Regions from separate parts of the Mus musculus genome. Here all the other regions are reported to be linked to region 2. Evidence: microRNA targets listed by miRTarBase, many of them from high-throughput screens and not tested one by one. Region 2 holds a microRNA gene; each other region holds the end of a gene's coding sequence. Distances are from middle to middle.
The links. Region 2 holds the annotated microRNA mmu-miR-1967 (UGAGGAUCCUGGGGAGAAGAUGC, at 2,533-2,555, opposite strand). A microRNA usually pairs through its seed, bases 2 to 8, with sites in the 3' UTR of a target mRNA and lowers its output. Matches are read on the target gene's strand: a 7mer-m8 pairs with bases 2 to 8, a 7mer-A1 pairs with bases 2 to 7 and ends in A, and an 8mer does both.

Region 1: the mRNA of Il27ra is a reported target of mmu-miR-1967. Seed matches in the 3' UTR shown: 7mer-m8 at 5,444-5,450.
Region 3: the mRNA of Mfsd4a is a reported target of mmu-miR-1967. Seed matches in the 3' UTR shown: 7mer-m8 at 1,190-1,196 and 8mer at 1,598-1,605.

The regions. Positions count from the first base shown.
Region 1 is chr8:84,025,241-84,031,523 of GRCm38, forward strand. Il27ra (interleukin 27 receptor, alpha) reads right to left here. Exons shown (of 14, transcript NM_016671.3): 12 at 6,279-6,283; 13 at 6,073-6,181; 14 at 5,046-5,952. The coding sequence ends at 5,791. Palm3 (paralemmin 3) reads left to right here. Exons shown (of 7, transcript NM_028877.1): 3 at 954-1,034; 4 at 1,509-1,651; 5 at 1,760-1,844; 6 at 2,886-2,931; 7 at 3,066-5,055. The coding sequence ends at 4,825. Among named protein-coding and RNA genes, the nearest start is that of Palm3, 6.9 kb to the left of the region's middle.
Region 2 is chr8:124,018,899-124,025,242 of GRCm38, reverse strand. It overlaps Mir1967 (microRNA 1967), which reads right to left and starts at 2,602; the gene lies at 2,521-2,602. It overlaps Taf5l (TATA-box binding protein associated factor 5 like), which reads left to right and starts at 3,846. Exons shown (of 5, transcript NM_133966.3): 1 at 3,846-4,054. It overlaps Urb2 (URB2 ribosome biogenesis 2 homolog (S. cerevisiae)), which reads right to left and starts at 3,746. Exons shown (of 10, transcript NM_001368414.1): 1 at 3,717-3,746; 2 at 1,645-1,783; 3 at 11-187. The coding sequence starts at 1,770.
Region 3 is chr1:132,033,511-132,039,404 of GRCm38, reverse strand. It overlaps Mfsd4a (major facilitator superfamily domain containing 4A), which reads left to right. Exons shown (of 10, transcript NM_001114662.1): 10 at 432-2,622. The coding sequence ends at 487. Among named protein-coding and RNA genes, the nearest start is that of Elk4, 29 kb to the right of the region's middle.

The DNA of each region.
Region 1 (6,283 bases), 40 Mb from region 2:
CCCATTTCTAGACCTCACCTCTGAACCCTGACTCCACCACTCTGCACCTGCCCCTCTTATTCTCCCCCGCCTTTGTGCTCCGTTTCTCTGGCTTCCATGGTCTGTACCTCCTCTTTTGGCACTCTTAGCAACCCACCTTTCTGTAGCCACTTCTGTACCTCGACCCTGAATTGCCCCTGTTCCCTAAGTCTCGGATCACCTGTTGTAACCTCCTTTTTCTAACCCTTTCTTTTGTAGCCCACCTTTCTAACTTCTCCACCTCCCCATTCCCATTTTTTCTGGTCTCTCTTCAGCACCTCAACGTTAAGCAGTGCTCTTGGGTACCCTGCACAATCACCTTGGAAGGTCATGTCTTTCAACACAACCTGCGCCCTGATTTACTGCATATCTTTGTACCCTATCTCTGCGTTACCTCTATATATGCCTGAATCTCTCTGGATGTCTACCTCTGCACCCCCATTTTGGACTCCATCTCGCTAGCACCTTCTCTTTATCTAGATCAACACATCCCTGACCCCCCCCCCCCTTTTTAACGATTTTTTTTTTCCCAGCAGGGTTTCTGTAGCCCAAAGTAGCCTCTAATTGGCTACTCCCTTTCTAGTCCAAGCTGGCCTGGAACTCATGGAGATCGTCCTACTGAGTCTTGGGGTTACCAAGCGCGTTCGCCTCGCCTGGCCATTCTCCTTCCTATCTTAGAAGTGCAAAACCCTAGTCCCCATCTCTAGGCCCCGCCTCCACGCCCCCATTTGCGGACCACCATTGGGCGTGGGCCTGGCTTCCGCAGCATGAGGGCGCGGCCGCCTGGTCCTGCCCCGCCCCGCCCCTCTCGCTGCTGAGTCAGCGCTCTGCAGCCCCCGCCCGCGGGAGGACGCCCCGGGAGTCCCGGGAGCCCCGAGGAGGCGGGCGGAGGGCGGCCCTGGACTAGCCCGCAGCTCTGGGTCGTGTGTGCGCAGGAGAAGCGGCGGCTGCAGGAGGAGATCGGCGCCGCGCGTCGCGAGCTGGAGGAGGAGAAACTCCGCGTGGAGCGGCTCAAGGTTGGGGGCTCCTATCCAGTCCGGGGAAGTGAAGTGGGGTGTCTGTGTGAGTCCGGCTGAAAGACAATAGGAACCTCTGACTAATTTGGGAAGGGGGAGATGGAGAGGAGGCAGGCGAAAGGTAGCCATGGAGACAGCTGTCCCACTCTGGAAGAGTATGGGGGGCGGGGGTGGAGGATGGTGGTGAGCTTCATCCCAGTTTGGTGGTGATGAGAGGAACCTGAGGCCAACGTTGGGGTGGAGAGGGGCACATTGAGAGGTCTTTCCGAGCCTAGCAGAGCCAGTCGACTGGGCAGGCTGGAAGGATAATGGTTGCATGCCTCTGCTTGGGAAGGCTGTATGCTGGCATGGTGTTGGGGTACGAGATATGGACATGTCTCCCATCCTGATGGATGCGCCCTCTGGGTGGTTGCAAGCAATGGGTGGGGAGGTAGGCTTCCTGTGGCTAGTCCCGGACTCTCGTTCCATACCCAGAGGAAATCTCTCCGAGAACGTTGGCTCATGGACGGGGCAGCTGAAGGGCCAGAACGGCCGGAGGAACCCGCCTCCAAGGACCCACAGTCGCCTGAGGGACAGGCCCAGGCTCGAATTCGCAACCTGGAAGACAGTTTGTTTTCGTGAGTTGAGAATCCCTGATTTTGAGCCATGCCCCAGCCTTTAGCAGCTCTAAGAAATGGAGCAGGTTTGGTCCATTCCGGCTTCCAGCAGCCTCCTTTCTCCCTCAGACTCCAGTCACAGCTACAGCTGTTGCAAAGTGCGTCCACAGGTGCTCAACACAGACCTGCTGGTAGGCCCGCCTGGCGCAGAGAGGTGAGCAGGGCCTGAAAGAGGTGGAGAGGAGGGGGCTGTGGTCAGCAGGGTTAGAACAGGACACAGCGGAAATGTGCTCTCTCAAAACGCAGCCTCTGCCTTGGTAGAGAATGGTAGGCAAACCCACTCACTGTTACTTTGTTCTGTGTTCTGTGCAAGTTGGTTGTCTTGGCTAGATCTTAGTTTGCTCATCCCTAAAGTAGGAATACCAACTCAGAAGTGCCTTTGGAAGGGCCAGTGAGATTATAATTGAAAGCAATTAGCCCAATCTCGAAGCCCGCGACCTTGAACTCGTGATCTCCCTGCTTCAGCTTTCCTTGTGGTAGGATTACCGGTTCCTACCACCAAGCCTTGATCACAAAGGGACTTAGTGTGCATGCAGGTGTGTGAATACAGGTGTGTGCAGCTGCCCCATCGTCTTTCTTCACATCTTTCCTTCACTCCACGCTGGCCACATTGTCTCTCTTCTATTATTCCCTTTAACGTCTGGCTCACCCGGGCAGTACTGTAGCCTTAGCCTCGAACAATGGTCTCCAACTCAGCACTCTGGACAGGGCACACCCTTCTCGGCAAGCCTCTTGAAGCCACGCCCAGCTCAGTCTCTAGGGGAAACCTCCTCACCCTAGACCTCTCTTCCTTTTCACCGCTTTGTTCTCTCCCCTTAACTATTTGCAAACGCGGCTTATTTATTTGTTGTTATGTCTATTACTTACCTCCTCCCATTGGAACTTAAAGTCTGATTGCATCAGGTCTTTACAGGTTGAGGATGTGGTTCAACAGCAATATTGCAATAACCTAGTGTGGCCCAGGGCTTGGGTTCCATCCCAAGTATTCCTTCCCCCAAATACTTTATACTCACCTCAGAAGCTGTCCACGCAAGCACTAACATGATATACTGTTAACATGATATACTTTATAGTCACCTCAGAAGCTGTCCATGCAAGCACTAACATGATATACTGTTTAAGCGGGTGGGGCACAAACATACCTGGGAAGTACAACCTGGGACCAATTTTGACCTTGTCTCTATTCTCCTTGCAGGGTCCCCGTCCTCTCTCTCAGTCTGCCATGGAAGCAGCTCCTACCGGTAAGCATTGGAGTCCCCAAGACCTGGGGTACCGTCACCACCAGATCATGTGACTCAAAAGAATCTGGGGTAAGGGTCCTGTTATTCCCCCATCATCCTGACCTCCCTGTCCCGTCCTCCCTTGATTCCCCCAGCCCCGACTGATGTGGACAAGCGAACTTCCCTGCCAGATGCTCCAGTGGGCATGTCCCCTGAGTCTCCTTCTGATCCCAGGGAGGAGTCGATTGCGGTTCTACCAGCCTCGAGGCCATCCACTGAAGCTATAGGGACATCTTCAGAAGCCAATGGCCCCTGCCCTGGGCACAGCCCTCTCCCAGAGCAGCTGAGTCTAGGGGTGTCGAGTGTCACTAAGGCCAAAGGAGATGGTGCAGTGGAGGTGGTTTGGGCTGGGCTTAGAGCCACTGAGAACAGTGCCACAGGCCCCACAGATGTGGAGCTGGAGGCTAAGGTGGAAGAAGTGGTTCTGGAGGCCATTGGGGCCAGGCAGGGCACCAGCAGCCCTGAGCTCCCCACTTGGGTGAAGGAGGGCAGGGGTGTAGTGGAAGTGGTCTGGGAGGGGCTGGGAGGCAGGGATCTTGATGTCACAGGGGAGTCAGGCAGGGATGCAGAGGCCACACACACCAGTTCCAGGAGACTCCAGGAGCAATTTGAGGCTGAAACTTGCAGAAAAGAAGAAGGTGCTTCCAGAGATAGTCTTGAGGGTGTTGGGCAGGGAGGTCCTGGAGTAGAGGAGGGATCCTTCATTTGGGTGGAGAGAGTGGCCCTCAGCGAAGACTGGGAGGAGATTTTGATGGAGGGTTTGGAAGCACCGCAGGGGGCAGGGTCTGCAGGAGAACCTGAGGCTTTGATTGGAGCACAGCCCAGAGGAGGTGAAGCGTCCTGGGAGGTAGAGAAGAGAGAAGTAGAGAAAGTTGAGGGCATAGAAGAGAAGGGAAGGGCAGAAAAGCTCGGGGCAGAGAGGGAGGATGGTGTAGCTGTGCTGCCAGATGAGACCCAGGGAAGAGAGGAAAACGAGGCAGAAAAGGTAGAGAGAAAAGACAGTGAGGGCCCCTTTCCAGCAGAGATAGCAACAGATGAGGAAAAGTGGGAGGTGAAAACGACGGAAGGTGAAGAGTCGTTGGAAGTAGAAAAGGGAGGTGAGGCAGAGCCGGTCACCACTGAGAAGCCATTGGTGACAGAAAAAAAGCCAGAGGGCTCACTGGAGACAGAGAGAAAAGGAAGTGAGATGCCATTGGACCAGGAGAAAGATGGTGAGGGCTCATTGGACAGAGAATCAAAAACAACTGAGATACTATTGGATGGAGAGATAGGAGATAAGAGCTCATTGGATGAAACTAAAGGAAGCAAGAAACTATTAGATGAGAAGACAGGAGGTGAGGGCTCATTGGATGAAGAAGCTGAAGGAAGTAAGAAACTATTGGACAGGGAGGCAGATGGCATCGAGCCATTCTCTGAGGTGGACAAGACCTCAGGCGCCAAGGATGATGTGAGTCCAGAAGAGCAAGGCAAAGCCAACGAAGGAGCAGAGTTCCAGGCGGAGGATGCCAGCCCACCAGGAGCCACTGTTTGTGTCCAGGACGAGCCCAGGTCAGAGGAGCAAGGACAGCAAGAACCAGAGAAGCAAGAAGGCCTGGTAGAAGGGGCAGCCAGTAAGCCTGAGCCCTGTACTGAGCGAGAGGGTCCCCCAGGGGATGCTACCCTGCTCCTAGCTGAGACCCCAGCCCCGGAGCAGCCTGTGGAAAGCCAGCCACTGCTCCATCAGGAAGCGTCCAGCACTAACCCTGGTGACCACCCTGCACCTACGTATGCCCCTGCCCAGCAGCTTGAGCTGGCTGAGGCCAAAGAAGCTAGTGGTCCCAAGCAGAAGACGTGCCAGTGTTGTGTGGTCATGTGAGCCTACGCCTGCCGCCAGCACCCCACTCCTCCTCTCACAGCTACCTCGCTGCCTGGCACCCAGCAGAAGGTCCCAGGCATAGACAGGGTACCACAGGACTGGTAGTGGCACCCAGGAGCCGGAGGGCCCTGTGCTTTTAGATTCCCTGCCCACTGCCTGTGGCCCTGACTCCCTTCTGCAATGAAGCCTTTATACTTGAAAATTAAATGTTAAGGCACTCTGGCTTTAAGAAAAAAAAGATTTATTTATTAATTTATTTTTATTTATTTATTTATTTTTATTTTATGCGTGTGTTTTTCGGTGCATAAGTAACCATGTGTGTGCAGGGCTCACAGAAGCCAGAAGAGGGCATTGGATTCCTTGGACCTGGAGTTACAGGTGATTCTGAGCTGCCCTGTGGGTGCTGGAAACTGAACGTGTGTCCTTTGCAAGGGCAGGGAACCAAACTTTGGTCTACTGCAAGAAAACACAGGCTCTTAACCACTTCAGGCCCTTGAATGTGTCTTTCGAGTCACCACCTCATAGCCTGCCTGGTAGTTATTCTTACTAGAATCAAAAGTTATGACTCGATGAAGTGACGCACACCTGTAATCCCAGCTCTGGGGATGCTGCAGCAGGGAGGATCACAAGTTCGAGGCCAGCCTTGGCTACCTAGCAAGCCTGTGACACAAGGAGGAAATAACAACGATGGGGTTGAGGCTGTGAGCTCACTGATTCTTCTGCAGTAACAAACAGATGCCCAAGACCCAGAGGCAAGGAAAGCAAAAGCTGGTTGGGCGGGAGGCGGCACACTCATTTCTTCTCAGTCCTTGGAAGGCAAAACCAGGTGAGTCTTGGTGAGTTCCAGGCCAGCCTGGTTGTTATATCAAGTTCCAGGCCAGCCATAGTGAGATCCTGTCTCAAAAATCTAAAAATACAAAAACGTCTAGCCCAAGATAGGGGTACAGCCCCTAGCCGTAAGCAGATCAGACTAGAAGGCCCAGCTCCTCTGGTGTGGGCAGGAAGTGTTTCTCATACCCAGAGTAAATTGGGGCAGAGGCTTTAGGGGACTCCACAACAGGCTGTAGCTCCACTTCCTCCACCTCCAGGATGGGTCCGTCCTTGGGCGGTTGGGGCAGGCTCACCTCCTGGGGAGATGGAAGCTTGAAACTCAGTGCTCCTCCCCTCCCACTTGCCCCAGCATCCTCCAGTTGGAGAGTGGTGCTCCCAGTTAGAGAGTGGTGCTCCCAGGGGTGCCGTTTTCTCACCTTGATGTAAGGTTGCCCAGAATTGCTGTTGGCAGGATCAGGAACCCTCTCCCAGATCCACTGGGGAAGCAACTTGTGCCGCCAGTGTAAGCACCTGGCCTGTAGGCACCTGGTGGCAAACATATTGCTAGAATCCATGAACTTTCTGAGCCCTGAGGCCACCCAGCCAAGGCCTAGCTGCCAAAGCCCATGTCTGGAAGCCTTACCTGGT
Region 2 (6,344 bases):
ACTCACTTACCTTGACAAGGGAGAGCTGGAGATTTACAGTCTTCCCATCCTTAAGGAGGTTCTGCAATTTCTTACTATGTAGAATGTTATCTACATAGATCCAGAGCCTTTCAACAATATCTTCCTGCAGTTCAAGCTTTTTCTTATAAAATGCAACCAATGACTGCCTTGCCCAATCAAGTAAAACCTGGATTTATAGAAAGCATTTATAGAAAACATATTCTGTAAATGAAGTTCTTACATGAAAGATTTTCACCCAATCATGACCAAATTCTACTGCATGAAAAACAAAAACGATTTCCTGTTAAAAGTGTATCTGCAGTATCAGTTACCACTGAGGTTGAAGCACTCACTGCAGGAGCAGCACTTCAGTCTACAAGTTCAAGATGAGACTGAGCAACACAGCAAGATCCTATCTGAAACCGATAGGCTGAATATGATTACACACGCTATTAATATCACTACTTGGAAGCTGAGGCCAAAAGGTCTCAATTCAATGGCAGCATGACAGGTATAGTGAAAGTATTTTTTTTAATCCTCACTTGTGTTAACATTATAATAATGTTTTGAAATCTTGAAATGTTTATTAAGGAAAAACAATGATGTCTTCATCTGGCCTCAAAGAAAAGTTTCAATAAAATTAACATTATTCAATGGTCTTTTCTAAGAGAAACACATAAATATCCACAATGTCCACAGAAGCAATCATATATGCAAATCAAATGGCAATGAGGGATAATTAAAGAAAAAAAGGAATGAGAATCAGAACATTCGGACATGTGTGCTCATTTTCCCAAGACAAGTAACTTCTAAGTCTCCCTCATTCAGGAAACACAGCCAAGGGGAACGGATGCACAAGTGTCTATGGGAGAAAAGGGCTTTGGACACATGCAGTTTCCATTCCTGTAACAGTGTTTTCTCAAGCACAATACACTGAGAAAAGGTGATGCTTCAGCTCGCAGAGCTGTGTGTATGAGTCTTCTGTGTGTGCCATATGTGTGAGATCGTGAAGATGGTGGTGGTGATGCTGACGATAAGAAAGCCAGGGCCTCAGGTGTGCTGGACAAACACTGGACTGAGTTGCCCTTGCTCACTTCTACTCTGCAGCACTGTCCGTAGGTGTGACAGACGAGCTGGGCTCTCGCTCAAGCCTACCAGGATTACCCTTTTGTTTCATGTTGTGCAGCGCTGACCAAGGAACTGCCTAGCTGTCAAGATGACTCAAACACGTAGTAGGTGTGGACACTGACAGGTAAGCTAACTGTTCTGCAAACCACACCTCGTCACTTCTCTCACAATTATAATACAGTCTGATACCAGCACTGGATGGAGGCCAGCCCTATTCCATGAGCTTGTCATCCTACCACAGCTGCACTGCCTACTTTTTAGCCACAGCAACTTAAGAAATCCCAATAGAACATCATAACTGGTACCTACCTGCTTCTAGCTTGCCCTCAGACTAGCACTTTCCAACTTCTCAACTTCCCGCCTAGCAATCCAAAAGCCCCACTGCTTCTTCACTGACAGTGACTGCAAATCAAGTTTTCTCCCCAACATGTCTTCTAATCTTTTAAATGTTAATATCCAAGCTGTACATGAAATTATTTTAGATCATAAAACGTACAAGTTCTACGTTAAACTTACTTGTTCTTTATTTGGTAGAAAGCACTGATGGGAAATCCAAGCAAAGTGAGCTAATTTTAGTTTATCTTCCCAGGAAGTTGTCTTGCTTTTAAGTTTAAAGGAAATACCAGAATAAACAGCAGCCATTGCTACACGTCTTCTACAATTAAAAAAGGAAAATAGTATTATAATAAGGCCTAACTGAACAGACACCAGAAAATGGACAGTATCTTTTAAAAAGAAAATTTTTTATGTATATGTGCCTGAGTATATGCACTCAGGAGTCCAAGAAGGTCAAAGAGGGCATTAGAGTCTTGGAGACTAGAGTACAGATAGTCATGAGTTAGGCGCCATGGAGGTACTGGGAACTGAGCCCAGGTCCTCTCTGAGAGCAGCTGTACTCCTAACTTTGAGCCACCTCTCCAACCCCTCCCTATATACCTTATTGGGTACAATTAGGAAGCAGAGGCCAGCCTAGGATACATGGTAAGATGTTGTGTCAAATATATAGTTAATTTGAAACTGGCTTTCATCAAAAGCAGGTAGACAATAGATTATAAGTACTCCTGCTGTGATCACACTTAGAGAATACAGGAATTCAATAAGGAGAAATCAAAGTGTGTAAATCACTCACAGGATGACAGTCACCATTCATGATTTAAGATCGAAAGAGATGGTTTAGCACAGCTTCAAAACTGTGTTGTGTAACAGGAGTAGCACTATTAAATAAGCAAAAAAGCAAGCAATACAGTACTTGAAGAAAATAATGCTTCTTGAAGTGAAAAAGAAATTAGGTGATGTGGCTGAGGAAACGGCTCAGCAGTAAAGAACACTTGTGACTCCTGTAGAGAGCCCGAGTCCAGTTCCTAGCACCCACAACGATCTGTAAGTCAATTTCCAGGGAATTCTGCATCTTCTCCCCAGGATCCTCATGAATGTCAGACAAAAGGAGCAAAGAGAGAAAGAAACAGAATTCAGGCATTAATTTCAATAAAAATGCTCTTACTTCTACTGTAACAGTAACTCGTCACACACAGCTACAGTAGACAAAAACCATATACAATCTTTAAAATCCCAAGTAACAAAGGAAAGGATACATTAACAACCTACACTTGCTATGAAACCCAGCTAAACCTTTTGAGTTTTTAAAAGTCATAAAGTTTGTTTCCATTATGGTAAACAACTTAGCTTAAACCCTGACAGAACATTCACCACGCTGCTGTGTTGAGGCAAGAGACTGTGCACTTTGGAAAGCTTACTACAGGCCTTCAGAACTGAGAGGCCTCCCTTCCTGTCCTCGCCCTCTGACTACCTCGGGAAGGGTTTAGGGCAGGGTTTTTCCACCTGCGGGTCACACGCCCACAAGATTGCAAACCAGGTATTTATTCACATTATGCTTCCAACAGTAGGAAAATTGCAATTATAATATAGCAACAAAATAACTTCATGGCGGGGGGGGGGGGGGCGTGTCACCACAACATGAACAAAGGGTTGCAGGATTAGGAAGGTTGAGAATCAATGTTCTAGGGGGCTGGAAAGATGACTCCGTGGTTAGGATTACTTACTGCTGTTCCAGAGAACCCAGGTTCGAGTCCCAATATCCCACATCTTGGCTCACAACCACCACTCCAGTTCTAGAGGAACGCCCCTCTTTTATCCTCTGCGGGTGTACATAAAACACCCATACAAATAAAAAGTTTGGTTTTGGTGGTGGTGGTGGTGGTGGTGGTGGTGGTGGTGGTGGTGGTGGAGGAGGAGGAGGAGGAGGAGGTGGTGGTTCTAGTTTATCATGATACCTTCAAATCCTACTACCTGGATCGGGGCTCCCTCGAGTCCGAGCTCCGTGTAGGAGATCGGGGTGCTCTCTAACGTGGGTCTCCCTCAGATCAAGGTTCTCTCAAGTGGAGCTCCTTCAGTTCGGGGTAAAGCAGTTCAGAACCTCAAGCAGGGTTCCATAGCGGGAACTCCCTCGGGCAGAGGCTCCTCCGATCCCGGCTCTCCAGCCGGTTCCCTCCTGTTAGGACTGGTGTCCGCATCCGCCAAACTGGCGCCTCGGCGCAGAGGAAACCCAAACTCTCCAACCGTCCGCTCACCTGGGACCTCCACGGCGGCGAGCCACATGTGAGGGAGGCGCTTCCGGCAGACGTTGACGCCAACGGCTCGGGGCGGGGAGGGGCGTCACGCAGACATCGCTAGAGGAGCGCCGAGCGCGCCCTGGCCGCGGCGGCGTCGCGCGTCCGCGGCCTAGCCCGGCGTGCCCGCTCCGTCAGGCGGTCATGGGGCGGCCACCGAGAACCGCGAGCGCGGGAGGACGTAGGGCGCGGGGACCCGGCTAGCCGGTCGTCGTACGGAGTCCTACGGCGGGCAACCGATACGGAAGCAGCCGGTGCCGGGGCGGCGGCGGGGCAGCGGGAGCCGCCTGGGATGTTCAGTGAGTGCGGGCGGGGCGCGGGACAGGGCGGGGGGGGGGAGGGGACGCGGGGGAGGGGCCTCGGGCGGGAGAGCGCGCGCGCGCGCGCCCGCCCCTGCGCAGTCCCGGCCCTGCTCGCGCGCGCGCGGGTCCGAGCGACCCCGCACGTGGCGGCCCCGGCTGCACGCGCCCGGAGACCCCGCGGCCCCGCCGGGCGCCCTCGCGCGGAGCCAACTGCGAGCTCACGAGGGCGCTCGGCGGAAGTGGGCAGCGGACGGAGGGCTCGCGGCTGCCGCGGGGAGACGCGGCCCCGCGGACCTCGCAGGCGCTGTGGCTCCGGCGTCGAGAGGTGAGTTTTCCCCTTCGCCGGGACCGGCAGGTGGAGGATAGCCTCGGGGCTCTGCCGGGAGTCCCGTCCAGTCCGACCCGCCCTATTAGAAAGTGAAGTAGGAAGGGAGTCTGCCTTTCTCCAGGTTACAGACTTTTTGGCTGTAACCTGGGGCTGAGTGTCACGGATGGAGTTGGTGACCGCAGAGACTTAGAGTTGCAAGCCGTGTAGCAGGCGAGCTTGCTGCCTCGGTTTCTTCTCCTGTAAAATGGGAGGGTAATTTAAGCCCAGACTCTGCTGGTAGTGGTGGCGCACTCCGTAATCCCCACACTCTGTAGGCTGAGGCAGAAAGATTGCTGCGAATTGTTGGCCATCCTGGTGTACGAAGTGAGTTCTGCACCAGTCTAAACCACAGAGTGAGACTTGGTCTAAATACACGTGCATACACACACACATACACATATGAGAGCCTTGTTTTATGAACTATAAAGCGAATATTAAATCAGAAAACCCAAAATGTCAGTTTGTGCCTTCAGTATTTGCCATCAGTAATAAATAAATTTGGTTCGTGTGTTTTGGGACAGTCTTCCAACTGTGAGATTTGTGTGTACTTCTGTCACTGAAGAGAGGCAAAAACCTCTTCTGACTACTTAGTAACTGGTTATTCTTTTTGTTACTCTGTCACAATCTATGAACAACATCTGGGGACAAAAGAAGGGGCTTTGCTTCTTTTCTGACTTGTTTTAGCTTGACCTTGTGTGACGCCAGCGCTGCTCATTGAACACTACTTGAAGTCACGGTTCCAGCCTTCCACGTAGCCAATCAGCATGTTAGCTGATTAACTTGCAGGCTCTCGTTGACATAAGCATCAGTGAGCGGTTGGCCCAGTGCTCCCCTGCAGTCCCGTATGGGATCAGTGGAGCATAGGGTGCAGGCTCAGACACTGTCCACGAGACTGCGTTCCCTCCCATTCAGGAACTGCGTGACTTTGGGCAAGTTGTCTGATAACTACAGGCTTCAGCGTCCCACCTGAAGCGTTTACCTGCCTAATAGAGTAAAAGCAGATAGTCTGTGGGAAGTACTTAAGATGGCGTCTTACTCAGCAGCGGAATGTTAAGTAAACATTAGGTATCAATGGTAGTGTAGGACTGGGATGGTGTTCCAGGCTCTGGGAGTAGAAGGGCAAAGACCAGGAAGCCATTTGAGGAAGAGATAGCCAGACAGAGAGAGCATCAAGGTTTGTTCACACCAGGTGAGCATTTGTAAGGGTGCCTCCTTAGGAGAGGGCTTGGCCAAAGCCTGCTAAAAGGTGAGGGAGCCTCAGTAAAGTGAAAATGGAAGTGGGTAAGCAGCATTCCAGCGAAACCTCGAAACCTCGAAACGACATGATGGGTTTTTTCACTGGGTTTCCTCCAGTGAAAGCAGTGAGTTTTAAACTGATGCATCACATTGGCTTTTTGGGAGGAAGGCCTGGAATGGAGTGGGGCTGGGTCGCAGTAGAGAGGCATCCCTGCTTCTGTACAGCTTCTAGCTTAGTACAGAAATTTTTAATCTGAATTTCAAAGCTAAGAGAACATTAAAACAAAACATGAAGGTACAGGTCGTTCTAGACAGTATTTCCTAAAAACCATGTTTTGGTGTGTGTCATGTACCAGGTTACAAAGCAGGTTTCTCTGAGAAGTCTCTCTGTGATTGGAGAATGTTATCCCATGTTGTGGTCTCTGCTCCAAGGCAGCCTTAGTTGTTGCTCCAACACCAAGATGGTCTTCAAGAGGGCATGCCAGGCTGGAGCAAGCCACTGGTGCTGGGTTGGAGCTTTTATTCAGTCTCACCAAATCAGTTATATAAACAAAACAACAAGAATTAATGTTCACTGAGGAGTACTGGGATCATGTCTCAGAGAACACTGTACAGATCGCACATAAAATACAAACTAATGTGGAAATGGAGGCTTGTTCTTGTTGACCTACTGCAACCGGCCAT
Region 3 (5,894 bases), not on the chromosome of region 2:
TGCCCTTGAAGAAAATGAAGAGGAAGAGGGGGAAGAGGAAGAGATGATGATGATGGTGGTGGTGATGATGATGATGATTGTGAATATCAAATGTTCCTTTCTTATGGGAGACAAACAGTTTTTTTCCCCCAGCCCTAGATATCAGTCTCACTGTCTCTATTAGCACTTCACCAGAACTTGATCTTGATCTGACTTCCCACAGTGCCGTGTGTGTATTGTGTGTGTGTGTGTGTGTGTGTGGCGTGTGCTCTTGAGCGCACACACATACATGTGTGCACCTATGAGACTGTGGCTGTACGTGTGCCCTAGTGCACCTAGAGCTAGACTAGCAGAAAAGCATACAGCTTGCTTGCTCTCAAGAGCTAAATGCTGCAGAGGAAGCTGGGGCCGCCCACATTTGCTACCAGTGTTGTTTATGTTTTCTTTTGTAGTTCTTACCCAAGACAAAGCCCTTGGTGTGGAGAACCCTGAGTGCTACCAGAGGTGAAGAGCTGAAGAGCTCAGCTCCTGAGCCACAGGGTGACCAGACTGACACAGGAAGCCAGGGTTGCACAGGAGGCTGCTCTTGCTTGTGTCTTCCTTCCCTGAGTCTTCCCTGGACAAATCGAGCACCTGCCTGACACTTTAGTTATCTTCCTCTCTGGTCCGGACTTGTTGTCCTGACAACCAGACAGGAGGATGAAAGACAGCCCGCACACACCTCTCCACACACCACCCCACGCATGGGCTAAACTCTGGGTTTGAGATCACGTTTAGTTGAAGTTTGAAAAACATGCTAAAATCCTAAGTCATTAACCACTGCTAGGTGTAGATATATTTTAAATCAATCAAGCCCCTCTGGCATGTTAAAAAAGATTTATGTGTTCTTCACTTACCCATGGTCCCAAGTCCCTCACATCCGTCCTGCAGAAATCAGTTTATTTGTGTCCTAAGACAACAAAGGAAATGTTGAATCTTGCTTTGAGACCCTAGTCAGTGTTGCATTGGGCTAACTCAGACAAGCTTTAGAAAGTTGACTGTTAAATTTTCATTTTGAGAGCTAGTAGGCATGACAAAGACTTAAATTATTATTTTTATTATTATTGAGATGGTATTTCTCTGGGTAGCCCCAGCTGTCCCAGAACACATTCTGTAGACCAGGCTATCCTGGAATTCACTCTATAGACCAGGCTAGCCTCAAACTCACAAAGATCCTCCTGCCTCTGCCTCTCAAGTGCTGGGATTAAAGGTGTGTACTGCCACTACCTAGCTTTAAAAAAAAAAAAAAAATTGTAACTAAACAAAGGTAATTCTCCAAACCTCACTTTCTAATTTTACATGGCAGATGCTCCTGAGCCCAAGAAGCAGCTCAGATGCTGCTCAGGAGTGTCCATGGCACCAAGGTGGTGACATTTCTGTGACAGAATACTGCTGGGCTCCTCCTCTCAGATCTCTGTGACAGCCTGCTGGTAGTCCAAGGTCAGCCATGGCCCAGAAATGGTGAAAGCCGTGCCCCTGGGAACAGATGGGTTTCCAGCGTCTTTCTGCTAACGAGCAATGCTAGTTGGTTCAGAAAGTGCAGGGAGAATGAAATGGACAGTCTGTTGTTCTTTACTGAGATCCTCAAGGTACAGAAGAATTTTTTTTAAAAAAATAGCTCATTTGGTATTTTATACCTTTTATAGATGAAAATTTTATACTGTGTCAAGGCCCTCCCTCCCTCCCATATAAATCTAGGACTACTATATAATTCAAGCCATGCAGTATACAGAGAGCAGTGTCAGTATGCAGAAACCAGTGTCTGTCAGGAGTGCCCTCTTCTATACAGAAGGTAGGTTAGTAATCCAGAGAATACAAGAAGGCGGCTCACCAGCCCGGGCAGGGCTGGGTGCAAGGCTTCTGGCATCAGCGACATGACATGATTTGTCTCTGGGAAGTCTCTAGGAGGAACAAATGTCCTGTTACAGTCATTGGTTTAATCTGTACATTCTCTGTGCATATACATGTGTTCATGTGAGCATGGACTCATGGTCCCAAGGGCTGTAGTTCACACACTAGACACCAGCAGAGCAGAGGTGGGCCAGGTTATCAGCCTTCTAGCTGTGACTCCAGAAGCCCCCCATCCCCCACCTCCAGCCTTGCTTGTTTTTACCAGTATGATGGCATTTCTAAAAGCACCCTACCTCACAGGAATTCTGAGAGAACTGAGAGTGTGTGGAGCATCTGCTGCATGCCCTACATGGGACCTGCCTTCCAAATGTTCATGGTTTTACTTCTATTCTTTGTAACACCTCATACGCAGCTTAGACGTCATCTCCATTTGGTACAAACTTTAAGTCAAATTTAACTTTGAAACGCCGATGGCCTAAGCAAATCCTTTTAACTATATTTATAAATTCATTGAAAAGTACCTCATACTAGCCATATTAAAATCTAGCTGGGCAATCTAACTATGGTGACTGACCTGGGCAAAGAGAAAGTGGTTGTATTTTTCTTGTAGTTTTTTTTTCAAGAAAACATCCTTTTTATACAGATCTAGAAAGAAGAATCACTGCTTATACCTACATTGGTGATGATTGATGTGTTAATATAGAAAACTCAAAAGAATCTCATACTTTCCTAAAATAAAATATTTTAAACCTAGTAAGTGTGTTATCCATCTTGAAGGGCAGTCGACCCTTTATACTGAAGATCAAATGGTCTAACGCTCCCCAAAGACAGGTCTCTCTTAGAGGTTCACGTGACGCACATGCACACACTCTTGTGCACACACACACACACAAACACACACACACACACACACACCCAATATAAGATACACACATGACAACTATGTATGTATGTATGTATGTATGTATGTATGTATGTATGTTATGTATGTGTATATGTATGTATGTATATATGTACACCTTTGGAACTTGGGGCAGGGCTAGGGGTGGTACCTGGGGTTTCAAGCATTCTAGGCAAGACTCACCACTAAGCCACACTTCTAGCTATCAAGAGTGTTGTAAAAAAACAAAACAAAACAAAAAAAAATAAATAAAAAAAATAAAAAGAAAAAAAAAAAAAGAAAAAAGCCGGGCAGTGGTGGCGCACGCCTTTAATCCCAGCACTCGGGAGGCAGAGGCAGGCGGATTTCTGAGTTCGAGACCAGCCTGGTCTACAAAGTGAGTTCCAGGACAGCCAGGGCTATACAGAGAAACTCTGTCTCGAAAACAAAACAAAACAAAACAAAACAAGAGTGTTGTGATGTCTCCCTGTTCCCAGATTCCTTCTGCAGACTTGGGGATCTAAGCCACCAGCATACCTTGCACACATTTAAAGGAAGGTATAGTGACACAAAGGGTTCATTTGTTTTGTTGTTATTCATTCGTTTTGTCTTTTTGAAATGGGTTTTACATTGCCCAAGGTAGACTAGATGCCATGTAGTTCAGATGATCTTGGACTCCCGATTTTCCTATTTCCACACCCCAGGTGCTAGGATGACAAGCATGCAGCACCAAGGCCAGCCTGTGTGCACCTGGGGATCCACTTTAGAGTACACCAGGGAGGCAAGCACTCTACCCATGAGCGATAGCCTCAGCTCACAAGTTTCTTACAGAGATTGCGTTTACACATTAAAAAAAAAAAGATCAAACAGCCACCATGTTCAAAGCAGAGGCTCAGGTACAGTTTCAGCAATGAATGAGAAGTCCCTGCCTCACAGAGACTTCAAGGTCAAAGCCATAGAAACAGCAAGTAAATATATAACATGTTATAGGATGATAGAGTACTGTAAGAAGCAGCAGGGGTGGGCGTGGGAACGGCAGATGTTCGGGCTATCTTAACAAGAGGACATGTGCTACACAGGAGAAAGCCAGGCGGGTGGGTACCTGAGAATATTCCTGCCAGGTAGAGGCTACAGCAAGGGGAAGGGCCTTGAACTGGAATGTTCCATAGAATCTGAGGAGCAGCTGGCAGACTGGTCTGGACAAACTGCAAAGCAGGCAGACAGTGGCAAGAAACAGGGTGGCATGAATGTGGATTTTTCTGGGGGATGTGAGCTTACCAACAGACTGTCACATGGCACGGTTCACACATTTAAAACCGTTACTCTGGCTGTTTGAAGACAGTGGGGCTGAGGTAGGCTCAGATACACTGCAGGGCTGGAGAGGTGACAGTGACTTGGACCATGCTGGAAGCAGTGGAAATGGTGAGGGCGAATTCAGTTGGAAGGTCTGTCAGAATTTGCTGATGGACTGAGTATAAGAGAAGGGTGCCAGTCTCAAGCTGAAGGCATCTGACCTATGCCCAGGTGTGAGGCATTTTGAGGTAGGCAAGCACAGGGAAGACTCTACTTGGCTATACATACAGTACTTAACAAGCTGAGACCCTGCCAACATCAGGCTGCACACCCCTTCTTAAATAAAGCAACTGGTAACTCTAACCTGGAGCGCCCTAGCCATCCTTAGTAACTTCCCTTCTGTGGCCAAACACATCCTGAAACACCTTGGGATCTGGAAATGTGGGCTCATCCAGCCTAAACTGGTTTGGGGAACATAGACAATAAGGCAAACTATGCCCTACAAATGAAGTCTTAGGGAAAAACCCTACTTACCACCGTGCCTATGCATGATTGAACGAATATGATGAAGATCAGATGTATCATGGGAAAGGACATGTGAAGTAAACTCAGGTTTATGTAACTCATACATGTTATTCCATGCCTGTAGAGGTCAGGGGACAACTTGAGGTGTTGGCCCCTGCCTTTCCATCTTGTCTGAGAAGAGTTCTTCGCTGCTGCACAGCCAAGCTCACTTCTGGTGGATTCTTCTGTTTCGCCCTCCCATCTTTGGGAAGAGCAGCTGTTCCCAACCTATGGGTACACTGTAGCTCTCTTCAGACACACCAGAAGAGGGCAACAGATCTCATTACAGACGGTTGTGAGCCACCATGTGGTTGCTGGGAATTGAACTCAGGACCTCTGGAAGAGCAGTCAGTGCTCTTAACTGAGCCATCTTGCAAGCCTGAGGCCATATCTTTAAAAAAAACAGTTCTGCACATCAGTATATGATGCTATCCTGGATATCAAGCCAGCTGCTAGACTTGGTAGCCAGAGTTTAAAGAGAAGTTATATAGCTTACAGTGTTCAGAGACAAGGAATGAAATCTCCTAGTTAGTGGTTGCAGGGACTGAGAGATCGAGCCTGGGGGTTCTTCAAAACCTAGGGGTTTAGAAAAAGAACTGATGTAGTAAAAAATTAGAAGCCAGAGGTAGGAACCCATTCAACAGTCAAAGTGGCTTCCTGGAAGGTATGGGAAGAGCATCTTAAGAAGACATCAGTGCTTGTGAGAGATTAACAGGACTAACAAACACTGGGCTAGATGGGAGAGGGGCTTAGGTAAATGACCAGTGTGTTCAAAACATATGGGAACAACACTCACAATCCAGTACCATGGCTGCATCTGCTAGGAACCTCCACAGCTGCTGAAGTCTTTACTTCTGTGACAGTTCTATGACACATCACTGTACTTCTGAGTGACTCCGATGAAGTCACTTCATGATTCCTTCAGTGGCAGGTATACTGTGATGATCAGAGTGTGATCCTGGGACACTCAACATTGTCTCCTACCTAATAAAGCCCAAAGAGCCCAGTGTGAGGATGGTGGCCATTAGACGCCTCTATGAAACACAGATGGAATGGTACCTGCAGTCAGTGCGCTTCGCCAAACTAGTGCCAACAGTTGGAAAGGCCGAAATGGTGGCAGGCTTTTCCACCGAAGGACCTGGAGCTTTGGGTATTCAAAAATGCACTCTGTGACTGCAAAAAGCAAGACCATATTTCTCAGCTCCTCTAAGATTAGTGTTCTTAGGTAATGCATTTGAGCAGATTCCCAGGAAAGCCCTTCATTGGCTCAACGGTGTGGTCAAGCACC